Cricetulus griseus: one gene and its partner. The protein of the gene in region 1 purifies or fractionates together with the protein of each later gene. This does not show direct contact. Links are inferred from orthologs where the notes say so. Each region holds a gene or a part of one and is shown in the gene's direction. Other genes may lie near its edges.

Region 1 (5,469 bases):
CATTGTAATTTTATAAAAAGCTGTGAGTAGTGATACATGCCTGTGAGTCAAGGAAATGGAGGCTTAGAGGATCATTATCCTCCAATTCCTCAAGGTCATCCCCTGATAAATAGGGAGTTTATTCTTTTTGGGTTAGTGAACAAGCCCAGGCCCTTAGGCATCCGATGACTGAGCTGTACCACTGTCCTTCTATCATCTTTGTCCTGATTTATGGATTGAGGTGTTAAAGGTGTCAACTGAAGTTGAGCTGAGTTGGGAGCTGATTTTATTCATATTACAGTGACTGAAATCTATGCATACTGGAAACTATCCTGTTTATTTTCTAAGAATCAAATGTAATATATTATATTCTGGTAAAGTAGAGAATAATTTTTTATTAGAACATCTAAGACAGTGATGAAGCTTGGTGCTAGAGTACTTGCTTATCATGCATTATGACCCTAAGTTCAGTCCCCAGAACCTGAAAAATTAAACAAAATAATTTTCTAAGATTCTTTTTTCCCTGGGTCTGGAAAGATGGTTCAGTAGCTGTTCTTCTAGAAGGCCCAGTTTCAATTCCCAGCACCCACATGGCAGCTCACAACTGTTTAACATCAGTTCCAGGGGATTTGACACCCTCACACAGACATACATGCAAGCAAAACACCAATGCACATGAAATGAAAGGTTTTTGTCCTATTACTATGTCAGATTGTGTAATTATTATGTCTGTCTTTGATTTTTGTAGGAAGTTGGTATGCCAGCAGATTATGTGAACAAGCTTGCCAGAATGTTTCAGGACATAAAAGTATCTGAAGACTTGAACCAAGCTTTTAAGGAAATGCACAAAAATAATAAGTTGGCATTACCAGGTATTATCTATAATTAAATAGAAGTGTATTTTTAAACTTAAAAAAATAGTTTTTCAATTATTTAAAGTAAATATCAAAGATTTTTACAAAATTCACACAAAAAGTCCCTTTTAACAAAAGTTTCACCTTCCTTCCTTCCTTCCTTCCTTCCTTCCTTCCTTCCTTCCTTCCTTCCTTCCTTTTTTTGTTTTTGTTTTTTGAGACAAGGTTTCTTTGTGTAGCTTTGGAGCCTGTCGTGGCAACTTGCTCTGTAGAGTAGGCTAGCCTCAAACTCAAATAGTGCTCCCAAGTTCTGGGATTAAAGGCATGTGCTGCTGCCACCATTACCTGGCCCTTGTTTATTTTCTGTAAAATTTAACTTGTCAAAATATTTATAAATTCTGATTTTCTTACCTGCAGCTGATTCAGTTAATATAAAGATTCTGAATGCTGGCGCCTGGTCTAGAAGCTCTGAGAAAGTGTTTGTCTCACTTCCTACTGAACTGGAGGACTTGATACCTGAGGTAGAAGAATTTTACAAAAAAAATCATAGTGGTAGAAAATTACATTGGCACCATCTCATGTCAAATGGAATTGTAAGTAGATGGGCTACCAATTTGGGTGCTGGTACAAAGAGTTGCCTGAGGGCTGGAGGGGTGACTCGGTGGCTAAGAACACTGATGCTTTTCCAGAAGACCTAGGTTCAAGTCCCAGTGACTCAAAACAGTCTCTACCTCCAATTCCTCTTTAGAACTCTACAGTTGCTGCACATATGTGCAGTATAGGCATATATGCAAGCAAAACATCCTCACATACAAAATAAAAGTAAAAATTAGTATAGATTAGGATTAGAACAGAAAATAGTGGCTCTGTCCCTACTTTTAGGGACATAGTTTCCAAGTTTTAGTAAATGCTTACCAAACCAATGACCTTGACAGTAGAATCCAATCTGATCACCAACCCTGACTCATGAAAAAAGGAAGGGAAAGGAGAAGGTGAACCTTCCTTTAAGGCAACTGATAAACATCTTCCTCATTATTTCTACATCAAACACATTGGACAGAATGAAGTCACATGACTATACTTCACTACAGGGAAAGCTGGGAGATGCATTATAGGTCTAAGATTATTACCTATAAGGAGGGAGAAATGGGTCATGGAAAAAAAACTAGCAATCTAATTTTCCCATTAGTACCTCATGCACATTTTACTAGATACCGGAGTAAGCTTCATGAAGAAATGAATTCCTTATTAAATCCCATTGTCTATTACAGATAACATTTAAGAATGAAGTAGGTCAGTATGACTTGGAAGTAACCACGTTTCAGTTGGCTGTGTTGTTTGCATGGAACCAAAGGCCCAGAGAGAAAATCAGCTTTGAAAATCTAAAACTTGCAACAGAACTCCCTGATGCCGAACTTAGAAGAACTTTATGGGTTTGTTTTATCTTTTATTCGATTTTGTTTTTAAAATAGTGTCATGTCACATAGTTGAGAATAAGTAAATGGCTTGTAAAACTAGAATTTTGGTGCTGAGAGTTAAATTCAGGACCCTTGTACACATGCATTCTACCACTGAACTACATACCTAAGCCACTGTAAAATTTGGGGGGGGGCATGTTTGGGAGCATTTGAGACAATGTTTGTTTGTAGTGTTAACTATCCTGTAACTCAGTTTGTAGACCAGGTTTTCCTTAACTCAGCCTGCCTCTGCCTCCCAAGTGCTAGGACTTTATTCCATGGCTTTCTTTCTTTTTTCCTTGTAAAGTTTTTAATTCATGATACTCTGAATATGACTTTCAACTAAAAAATGCACAGTGTTGAGGAATTTATGAATCAAGAAAAAAGAAAAGCAAATTACCAAAGTAGAAAAGGACCAGAGAAAGAGAAGAGGGAGAGATTGAGTTGGTATTAAGTGTGTTTAAGGAGTCCAACCAAAGTTATGAATGTTTGTAAAGTGTGCTCATGATAGTCTTGATTATAATTGCATTTAGTGCTTACCCTGTAACTCAGATTCCAGAATAAACTGTTAGCAATGGAGGCAACTACATGACTGTCCTGGCAGACAGTTCCTCAGGTCCTATATGACCAACCAGTGCTTGTCTCACTACATGAAGTAAAAGAACATATGTCTCTTTTTTCAGAACCAGCTCTTTTCATTAGGCATTTACTTTGTCATGTGCGTGTTGTTCACATAAAAGTTTGGATTGTTAATTTCTCTACAAGTCGATTCTTGCCTGTATTGTAGACTTGTTCCTAACACTCTGTATAATTTACTATGCTGATTTTTTTTCCTCATAGTCTTTAGTAGCTTTTCCCAAGCTCAAACGCCAAGTTTTGTTATACGAACCTCAAGTCAACTCACCCAAAGACTTCACAGAAGGGACCCTCTTCTCTGTGAACCAGGAGTTCAGCCTAATGTAAGATTCACATTGTTGATTTAAAAGAAATGTACTATGCTGAATTTTAATGCTTTGATTTTTGTTAAAATAATCATTTGCTTTATGTAATGTCAAAAATAGTAACTGAGTATTATCACTAGTTTTGTATCATTTCATTTTTTTTTATTTAAAAAATATTTGAGACCAGAATGTTGAGTGCGTGGAATAGAACAGCCTTATCCAGCAGAGCTGTTTATCTGAAGCCTTAGTCAGGTAGTTTGTAGTTTGTTAAAGAATGCAGTTAATGGTCAGCAGAGGCCGTATATCTTGTTTGAAGGAATCAAAGGACTGTTTAAATTTTTGCTTGAAATAGGTTGTTGCCTCAGCTTTTCAAGTGCTAGGATTACAGGTAATTGTAGACAAGTCCCCCCATAACAAGGGTGGGGATTGCTGAAAGGGAAGCTGTGTATCCTGGTTGTTACTTACCCTTTAAGCAGCACTACATCTTATTTTTAGAACAGTTCTAACTTCTGACATGATGCTGTAATAAGATGTTCAAAACTTTCAATTTTTTTTTTGCAGAAAAAATGCAAAAGTTCAGAAAAGGGGAAAAATCAATTTGATTGGACGTTTGCAGCTCACTACAGAAAGAATGAGAGAAGAAGAAAATGAAGGGATAGTTCAGCTAAGAATATTAAGAACCCAGGTTTGTATAGGGAGAAAGAATGTCTAAATTTTTTGGCTTTTTTTAACTTTTCACATCTTTGTAATAGTAGTTGTGTGAATACCTAGGAGTTGCTGTGCAATTTGGTTGGTGTTAGAAGATAATGTAGGAAAAGTTACTGATTTGCTTTGATCAGACAAGTGTAATATATTAATGTACTTTCTGTTTTCATTTTTCTCTTAGGAAGCCATCATACAAATAATGAAAATGAGAAAGAAAATTAGCAATGCTCAACTGCAGACTGAGTTAGTAGAGATTTTGAAAAACATGTTCTTACCACAGAAGAAAATGATAAAAGAGCAAATCGAGTGGCTGATAGAGCACAAGTACATCAGGAGAGATGAGGCCGACATCAACACGTTCATCTACATGGCGTAGCTGAGCACTGTGCCACTGTTGAAGCACAGATAGATTCTGGAGCCCCTGGGCAGAAAGTTGTCCCGGTTTGAGCTGGAGGAAGGTTTATTTGGACTTTGATTACATAAATATTAAACTCTCTGCCTTACCTTACAAACGACTATATTTTGCCAGTCACATTAGTTAGCATGATGGCATTCCCTTCATGTTGCACACTCTTAACAGCATGCTGTTTTGTGGAGAAAATTGCATTCATGAAGAGCCCATTATGAACTTCAAAGTCAGTTCAATTTTTACCCACCAAGAGAAATAACATTTTGGAAGGGTGAGGGTGGGGTTCTTGTTGCTTCTTTTACCCCCTTCTCCTCTTTAAAGGAATATACTTGCACAAGGAAGGATGCTCAGATATTCATGCACTGAAAAATGCTGTTATCTTTTTTTTTTTTTAAATGCAATTAAAGGTAGAGGTAGCACTCTTAGCTTCTTTTAATGAAAAGAGTGAAGTTGTCAACACCATATTGGGAAAGGGCAGGTGTACTTGAGAAGATGAGGATGCCATAGTATCAAGTTGTTTGTTAAACACTGCTTTTAGTTTAATAACTGGATTTTGATGATGACCTGAAAATGGTATTAAATATTTCTACCTTACAAATCCTGATTGTCGTTAAGCAGGAGACTGCTGTTTTAGTTGTTTGTTGTTAAATGGTAAGGATTTGGGGTTTCCTTTATAAGTCTTGTATCGTTGGAGAGCTTGTTTTGAAAACATGAAGTTTATAATGAATGTTGCTTCGGTTGTTAAATTTATGGGTATAGGTAAGTCATTGATTGCAGAATCAGAATCACAAAGCAAACGTGTTAAGTGTGTTACTAATACACTTAATTCATATACACTTAATATTTATTATGCCATGTCAAAATTTATTGAAAACAATGCAGAAAAATACTCTGATACAGTACAATGAGAGAATTGCTTTCTAAACCTGTAGCATAGAATTATTTGGTGTTTTGAAAATGTTGTGATTAGGGATTTACCACCTCAGTTTTCTTGAAAGACATTTTTTGTTAAAATAATAATTCCCTGTCACCTAGGAGGAAGAGAGATGAGATTACAGCCTGAGATCTGAGAAGCTTTCAGAGTTGTTGGCCGTAACATGAGTAGTAACCTTGCCAAATATGTA
Region 2 (6,268 bases), on another chromosome or scaffold:
CCAGAATCTCTTTTAAAAAATTTGTACTGGGTCAGTGGCTTTAATCCCAGCACTTGGAAGGCAGAGGCAGGCTGATCTCTGTGAGTTCAAGGCTGGCCTGGTCTACACAATGAGTTCCATAACAGCCAGAGCTACATAGTGTGACCCTGTCTTGAAACCATTTTAACCTTTTTAAAGTTATGACTATGAGTAAACACAATATAATCAACCCCAACATTTTCATCTTTCCAGGCTGATACTGTTCCCATTAAAACACTAACTTCTGGGGCTGGAGAGATGACTCAGTGGTGGAGCAGAGCTCAGTTCCCAGCACCAGTTCACAACTGTCTGTAAGTCCAGCTCCAGGCTATCTAATAATTCCCTCCCCTGGCCTCCCAGGGAACCTGCACACTCATGATGCTCACAGCATGCACACATACATTAAATAAATATAAAAACAGGTATGGTGGTGCACTCTCCCAGGACCTGGGAAGCAGAGGCAGGTGGATCTCTGAGTTCAATGTAAGGCTGGTCTGCATAGTGAGTTCCAGGCCAGCCAAGGGCTACCTAGAAAGACCCTGTCTCCACCCCAAATCTTTACTCACTTCCTGTTCCTCCTGAGGTAGGATAGAAAGGAAAATTATGGGGTTGTGAGAGGGAAGAGGTGCCCCTCACCCAGGAATTTGGTGGAAGCCTCTTGCCTACAGAGAAGCAGGGATGCTGGTTCAATTACTACTCAAGGCCATCACCCTTCCCCAGCTATACCGCTGCATTTTTTCAGGACTCTCAGCAGAAACTTCCTTGACAGGAAAAGGACCAGTACAAAATTGTACAAAATTTCTTATGCAACCATTGGTTCTGGTTTTACCTTATCAGATTATAATTCCCTCTGAAGCCACCCCCCCCCCACACACACCCCAACACACTCTGGGCAACCGTTTGAGAGCTAAGTTGAAAGCTATCAAAATGGTGCACACAGCTAGTGCTAAGATTGTGAGTCCCGTGAGGAGCTACACTGGGTATGTTTTCTTAGTTCTCTCTTCTAAGCCTTGTGGTTAAAGTCTATGTTAAATTTTCTTTAATAAAACCCTCAAATTTGCTTTTACTAGTGCTAAAATTCTTGTCTGAGGCAAAGCCATGAATCCAGTTTGCCCTGAGTCTTTTTGCAGTCTCTAAGAGAATTCTCTGGCTAGGGTGACAGCATGGGGTTTTATCTCTGTCCCCTCACCTTGGACACTCCCTCTTCTGGCAACAACCTGGTATCCATTATTCCACTCTGTTTCTATGAAGTGATTCCTTTAGTGACGTCCTGAGTGGAGGATTTGTCTTTCACAGGTGGCTTATTTCACTGAGCACAGTGTCCTCCAGAATTGTCCGTGCTGCAGCCTGGGATGGAGACTTTTTAAGGCTGTGTGGACGGCCCACAGCGCCACATTTTGATGCGTGTTTATCCGTCTATGCACACCTGGGTGGTTTTACACTTGAGGCATCCCAGCTAGGGATTCTGCAGCTGTGGAGTAGAGCCATGAAGCCCCTGGCTCTTTGCCTTGCAGCGTCATTAGTGTCACCTGTCCCTCATGCCAGCAGTGCTCTCTGCTGTTATCAAACCCAAACACCACGGCTGGAATCTCTTCTCTTTCCCCTCAACACCCTCAATGCCCGTGGCTGTTCCCGCTTGTCCCACCCAGCTCCACAGACCTGTGCAACCGAGCCAGTCGGGGCACGAGGATATGCTGGGTACCTATGGGTTGTTAGCTCTCAGCTGGTGTGCCATGACCACACAAAGATGCAGGCAAGTCACAGCCACCGTGTTGGGGACTGCGGCCTCGCCCCCACCTCACCGGACGGCGGGGAGCTTCTGTCTCCTTAAGGCGCAGCCTCCCCGGCTCACTGGGGTCCTTCCTCCCCTGCAAGGCACTTTCCCTAAGTCGCGAGAGAGGGAATGGAAGGACCCGGCGGCGTCCGTGCTTAGGAGCTGCTCGGGACGCGATGCACACGGTGTGACCCGTGTAAAATCGGGAGTTCTTGACGTCACTCGGTGCGCACGCCTTGCCAGGCTACAAACACTGCGGGCTCCATGGAGGCATTCTGGGCTGCGTTCAACTAACACCACTTTGCAAGTCAGCGACTGGGAAGGACGGGCGGCACCACACCGACCGTCCGGAGCCGCGCGGCAACCACAAGCGGCGCGGCCCGCGTTCCTAGACGACCTTCAGCGGCCGCGGGAGGGAGGCCGGGGACAGCGGGCTGGGCCCTAAGCGGTCACGCCCACGTCCCGCCTTTTTCGTGGGCGGGGACAGAACCTGCCAATCAGGGGCTCCGGGGCATGCAAATTAGCCTCCGCCCCCAGGGGAGAGGCGTTTCCCCAGACTCGCCGCGCCCTTGGTAGACGCCGCTACTCAGTTTTGCCTTCCTCACGGATCGGCTCTCGAGTCCGTTAGCTAGGCCGGAAGTGGGGACCCAAGCGTCCTGCGGGCAGAGCCGGAAGTGCGATAGGGAGGCGCATACTGGCCGGAAGCCGAGCTCCGGGCACGCCCCCCTGCCGGAAGCGCCTGAGGTATCTCTCAGGCCCGGTTGCTCTTCGACAGAGTCGCTGCGGAGGCGGCCGGTCGGGCGGCGGGGTCGGGGCGGCGGCTGAGGGCCGAGTCGGCATGGCGGAGGGCGGGAGCCCCGAGGGGCGGGCCGGCCCCGGGCCCGCAGGTAACGTGAGCGGCGTGGTGTGGTGTGTGTGTGTGTGGTGGGGGGCGGGGTGGCGGGAAGGCGGGGCTGCGACTCGGGTTCAGTCAGGGTGGCTCTCGGGCATCCCGGGGCCCTCGTCCTCCGTCCCCGCCGGCCAGGTTCGCGGAGGTTCGCGGAGCCGCCCTCGGGGTCAGTAAGTGGGCGTCAGGCTTCGCGGGGCCCAGGGCGCGACCTCCGCCCTCGGCCTCTCGTGGACAGCCCTCCGCGGTCCCCACCCCCACCACCCCCACCCCCGGCGGAGTTACCAGGCCAGGTGCAGCCGCCTTGTAACTGCCACCGTGTTAGCCGATCCCCGTTAGTCTGCGATGACCCCCGCTGTGACATGGGGCACGGATCCTCTTCCCGGTCTGAGCACACTGGTCAGAGGTCGGGCCTCGGTAGGGCACGCTCCTTTTCCTCATCCCGTCCCGCCAGTCAGCGCATGGCCGAGCCGGTGCATCGCAGCCACTGGACACCCCCTCCTCCCCTTTTGACTGCCATGCTGTCCCCAGCGAGCTTGCCAGTGAGTGACACAGCGCTTACGCCGGCCCTTGACCCACCTTCAGAGAAAGGCTGACACTTGCCATCTGGCTTAGCATCTCCCACTTTGCCGTGCTGCTACTGTGACACTGAGAATTTCCAGGTACGAAGTCCCACATTGGGGTCTTTCTGAGACTGCCACGTGTGTGGTAAGTAACTTGCTGTGTGCATCTCTGGAGAGGGCACTTGTTTTGTTCAGCGAACTCTCTTAGTTGTCAAAAATCTCAGAAGGTCACCCAAACAACGGCCTTGTCATTCCTCCCTCCATCTAGTCAACTATTGATGGTCTACTGTTGGCTTGGCTCACTTGAGGCTGTGAGGGTGACCTGAAAAGGCTAGATAAAGCCTCTACCACCAAGAACTTTGGTTGGCATTGACTTTGGTCTGAGGGACAAACAAAATTTTTGAGTGGACTGCCCTGTCATGCAGGAGTGAGAGATAGGAGAGAGGTGGGGAAAAGATAGCTATTTCTTAGTAAACAAGGGCCCTGGGGAAGAAACAGTGATTTTGGTCCCCTCCAGTCTACTTTTCAGTACCTGTTTGTTAGTGTGTTTCCAGCTTGTGGGTGGAGGGGCAGGTCTTGAGTGCTACCTTGGGTTCTGAAGGGTTCATGACAGACTAGGACTGGCTAACAAGGTGGCAGTTACAAGGCCGGCACCACCTGGGGGAAAAAAAAAAGGCTGAAGCATTGAAGAGAGGTGAGCAAAGGGAGGTCCAAAGACTTGACCAAGTCCTTGGTGCCCACTTTCCTGACAGTTATCCCACACATCTGAATCTTCCCCAACTGTGGCCTTGGGTTTTTATACTGGTAAATTTTATATATTGGCAACTGCAGTATACTTAACAATGGAGGAGGACCTGGACGGAGCCTTTAAGAGTGGTTTCCAGGCTTGATGTCCGCCTGTTGATCTGCGGCACATCTGGTTGTGGGATCAGGGAGCCACATAAGGTGTTTTTGAACCTTGTGCTGCCGTTAGCCTTGTTGTCTTGGACTTTCAGATTCTGGAGGGCTAGGATACTTACTCATCACCACACTGGGACTTGAAGCAGGGACTTGAAGGATATTTTATTTGAATATGGAAACAACTTCAACATCTAGAAAAAGCCTGCCTTCGAAGGGATCCTCACAGGGTGGGAGACTTGTATCTCAGCAGTTAGAATTTGTGCTGTTTTTATAACACCTGTTGGTGCAATTTTTTATAAAACTTTTCAGTCTCCTGGAGTTAAGTTTGGGCTGTGATATGAGCAAAGATGCAAGTGTTTCCAAGCAGGTGATTAATTGTACAAATAATCTCGATTAACTACATTTCTCTTTGATGCCTGTTTTTTGTTGTTCTTGTTTGGTTTTTGTTGTCGTTGTTCTTCAGTTTGGTGAGAATTTTGTTATCTAACATGATAGAGTTTTTTTTGGTTTTATTTTTTACCCCATTATTCTTTTGTTGTTTGTTTTTTTTTTGTTTTTCAAAACAGGGTTTCTTTGGCTGTCCTGGAACTAGCCTTGCACTCACAGAGATCCACCTGCCTCTGCCTCAAGTTCTGGGATTAAAGGTGTATACCACCACTGCCTGGCCCATTATTCTTACTAACACAAAGAGCAATTCTCCCTTATGTAAATGCACAAATAAAATTTGAAATTTTTTGTTATATTTTGTATCAAATTTCTGAAGAGGCTGGCTACATTTTATTTATGGGTAACCTTGAGAATTTCTCTAATATTGAATCTTCTTCTAGTACATGGTATGTATGGTTTTTCTATTTAGTCCTCTTTATTTTTTGTTACACAGGCTGGATTTGTATTTATGCATAAATTTTTTTAGTTTTCTACTTTACTGAGGTACAATTTTTTTTTTCGGTGTGTGAACATGTGTATGTAGAGGTCAGAGGTCAACATTTAATGTTATCCTCATTCTCCACCTTATTTTTGAAACAAGGTCTCTCACTGCACATGGAACCTACAGATTTGGATCTAGCTAGATTGGCTACCAGCCAGCCCAGGTATCCACAACCCAAGGGAGCCTCCTGTCTCTGCCTCCCCTACCCCCAATAGAACTAGAGGCATGTGCAACTAGTCTTGGCTTTTTATATGAGAGTTGGGAATCTGAGCTTAAGGGCTCATGTTTTCGTGACAAGTACTGCCAATTGAGATATCTCACTAGCCTCTTGAAGTGTGATTTTAATACAAAATGTATGCCTTTGAGATTTATTTCCTGTTATTTCATTTCCATTGCTACAATAAAAATACCTGAAAAAATACTATAAAGAAAAGAGATTTATTTAGTTCAGCCTTAGAGGCTGAATATCATGGTGCAGGTTCTCATGTAAGCCTTACCTATGGTACCTTAAAACAGACAGCAGTGGGGGAGCTGTGATCTCCTGATATCCAGGAAGCCAGAGACTAGGAGGGCTGGTCTCATGCTCTTATAATAACCGTCTGATAAGAACTAGCCAGGATTCCAGGAGAAATTCTTTAGTCCTGCAGGAAGACACTTTGCCCTGACACTGTGGCCCAGTGTGATGCCATACTGGTTAAAGGGCTTTGCTGTCTCCCAACACTACCATACTGGGACCATACTTCTAACACATGGACTCTGTGGATACAGTAGTACTCTGCTGAATTGTTTCTTATCGAGACACCCTGCTGCTATTTCTCGGAGCAGCATGGTAGGGAGCTCACCTACCTTCCAGGTAGCAACTGTTGTTTGGCCCTAGGCTTTGGCTAACCAGCTGTCTTTGTAGTAAAGGAGATGGCTGCCATTCTCCTTTCAGATACCCCAATTCAGAGACGCTCTTACATACTTGCAATAAATTAGAGTAATTACATGCTAGATTTTTTTTGGCATAATATTTTAAATTGTAATTTGGTAGTACTTTATTTAGGTTCTTCTATGTTATAAAGTACTATTGACTTATTGTTCCATTGTTCCCCAGTCCATCACATTTTCTTTTCTTAGAAAAAAAATTCTTATCAGCTTTGGTGTCAGGAATGTGCTAATTTGATAAAGGGAACTTTACAGCTTTCTCTTATGAATTA

The links. The genes of interacting proteins can lie anywhere in the genome.
Region 2: the proteins of Cul5 (region 1) and Asb1 purify together in Homo sapiens (affinity purification with mass spectrometry; 6 studies listed by BioGRID and IntAct, counting the BioPlex papers as one, with this or other methods). This does not show direct contact. The link is inferred for Cricetulus griseus from reciprocal best matches to the Homo sapiens genes CUL5 and ASB1.

What each region holds. Positions count from the first base shown.
Region 1 is NC_048597.1:165,335,622-165,341,090, reverse strand, and holds part of Cul5 (cullin-5), read left to right. Parts: intron 1-727; coding exon 728-851; intron 852-1,250; coding exon 1,251-1,426; intron 1,427-2,104; coding exon 2,105-2,266; intron 2,267-3,130; coding exon 3,131-3,249; intron 3,250-3,792; coding exon 3,793-3,916; intron 3,917-4,117; coding exon 4,118-4,312; 3' UTR 4,313-5,469. UniProt on the Homo sapiens protein: Core component of multiple cullin-5-RING E3 ubiquitin-protein ligase complexes (ECS complexes, also named CRL5 complexes), which mediate the ubiquitination and subsequent proteasomal degradation of target proteins.
Region 2 is NC_048595.1:443,055,923-443,062,190, forward strand, and holds the start of Asb1 (ankyrin repeat and SOCS box protein 1), read left to right. Parts: upstream 1-2,378; 5' UTR 2,379-2,630; coding exon 2,631-2,679; intron 2,680-2,736; exon of another isoform or gene 2,737-3,386; intron 3,387-3,397; exon of another isoform or gene 3,398-5,168; coding exon 5,169-5,232; intron 5,233-6,268. UniProt on the Homo sapiens protein: Probable substrate-recognition component of a SCF-like ECS (Elongin-Cullin-SOCS-box protein) E3 ligase complex which mediates the ubiquitination and subsequent proteasomal degradation of target proteins.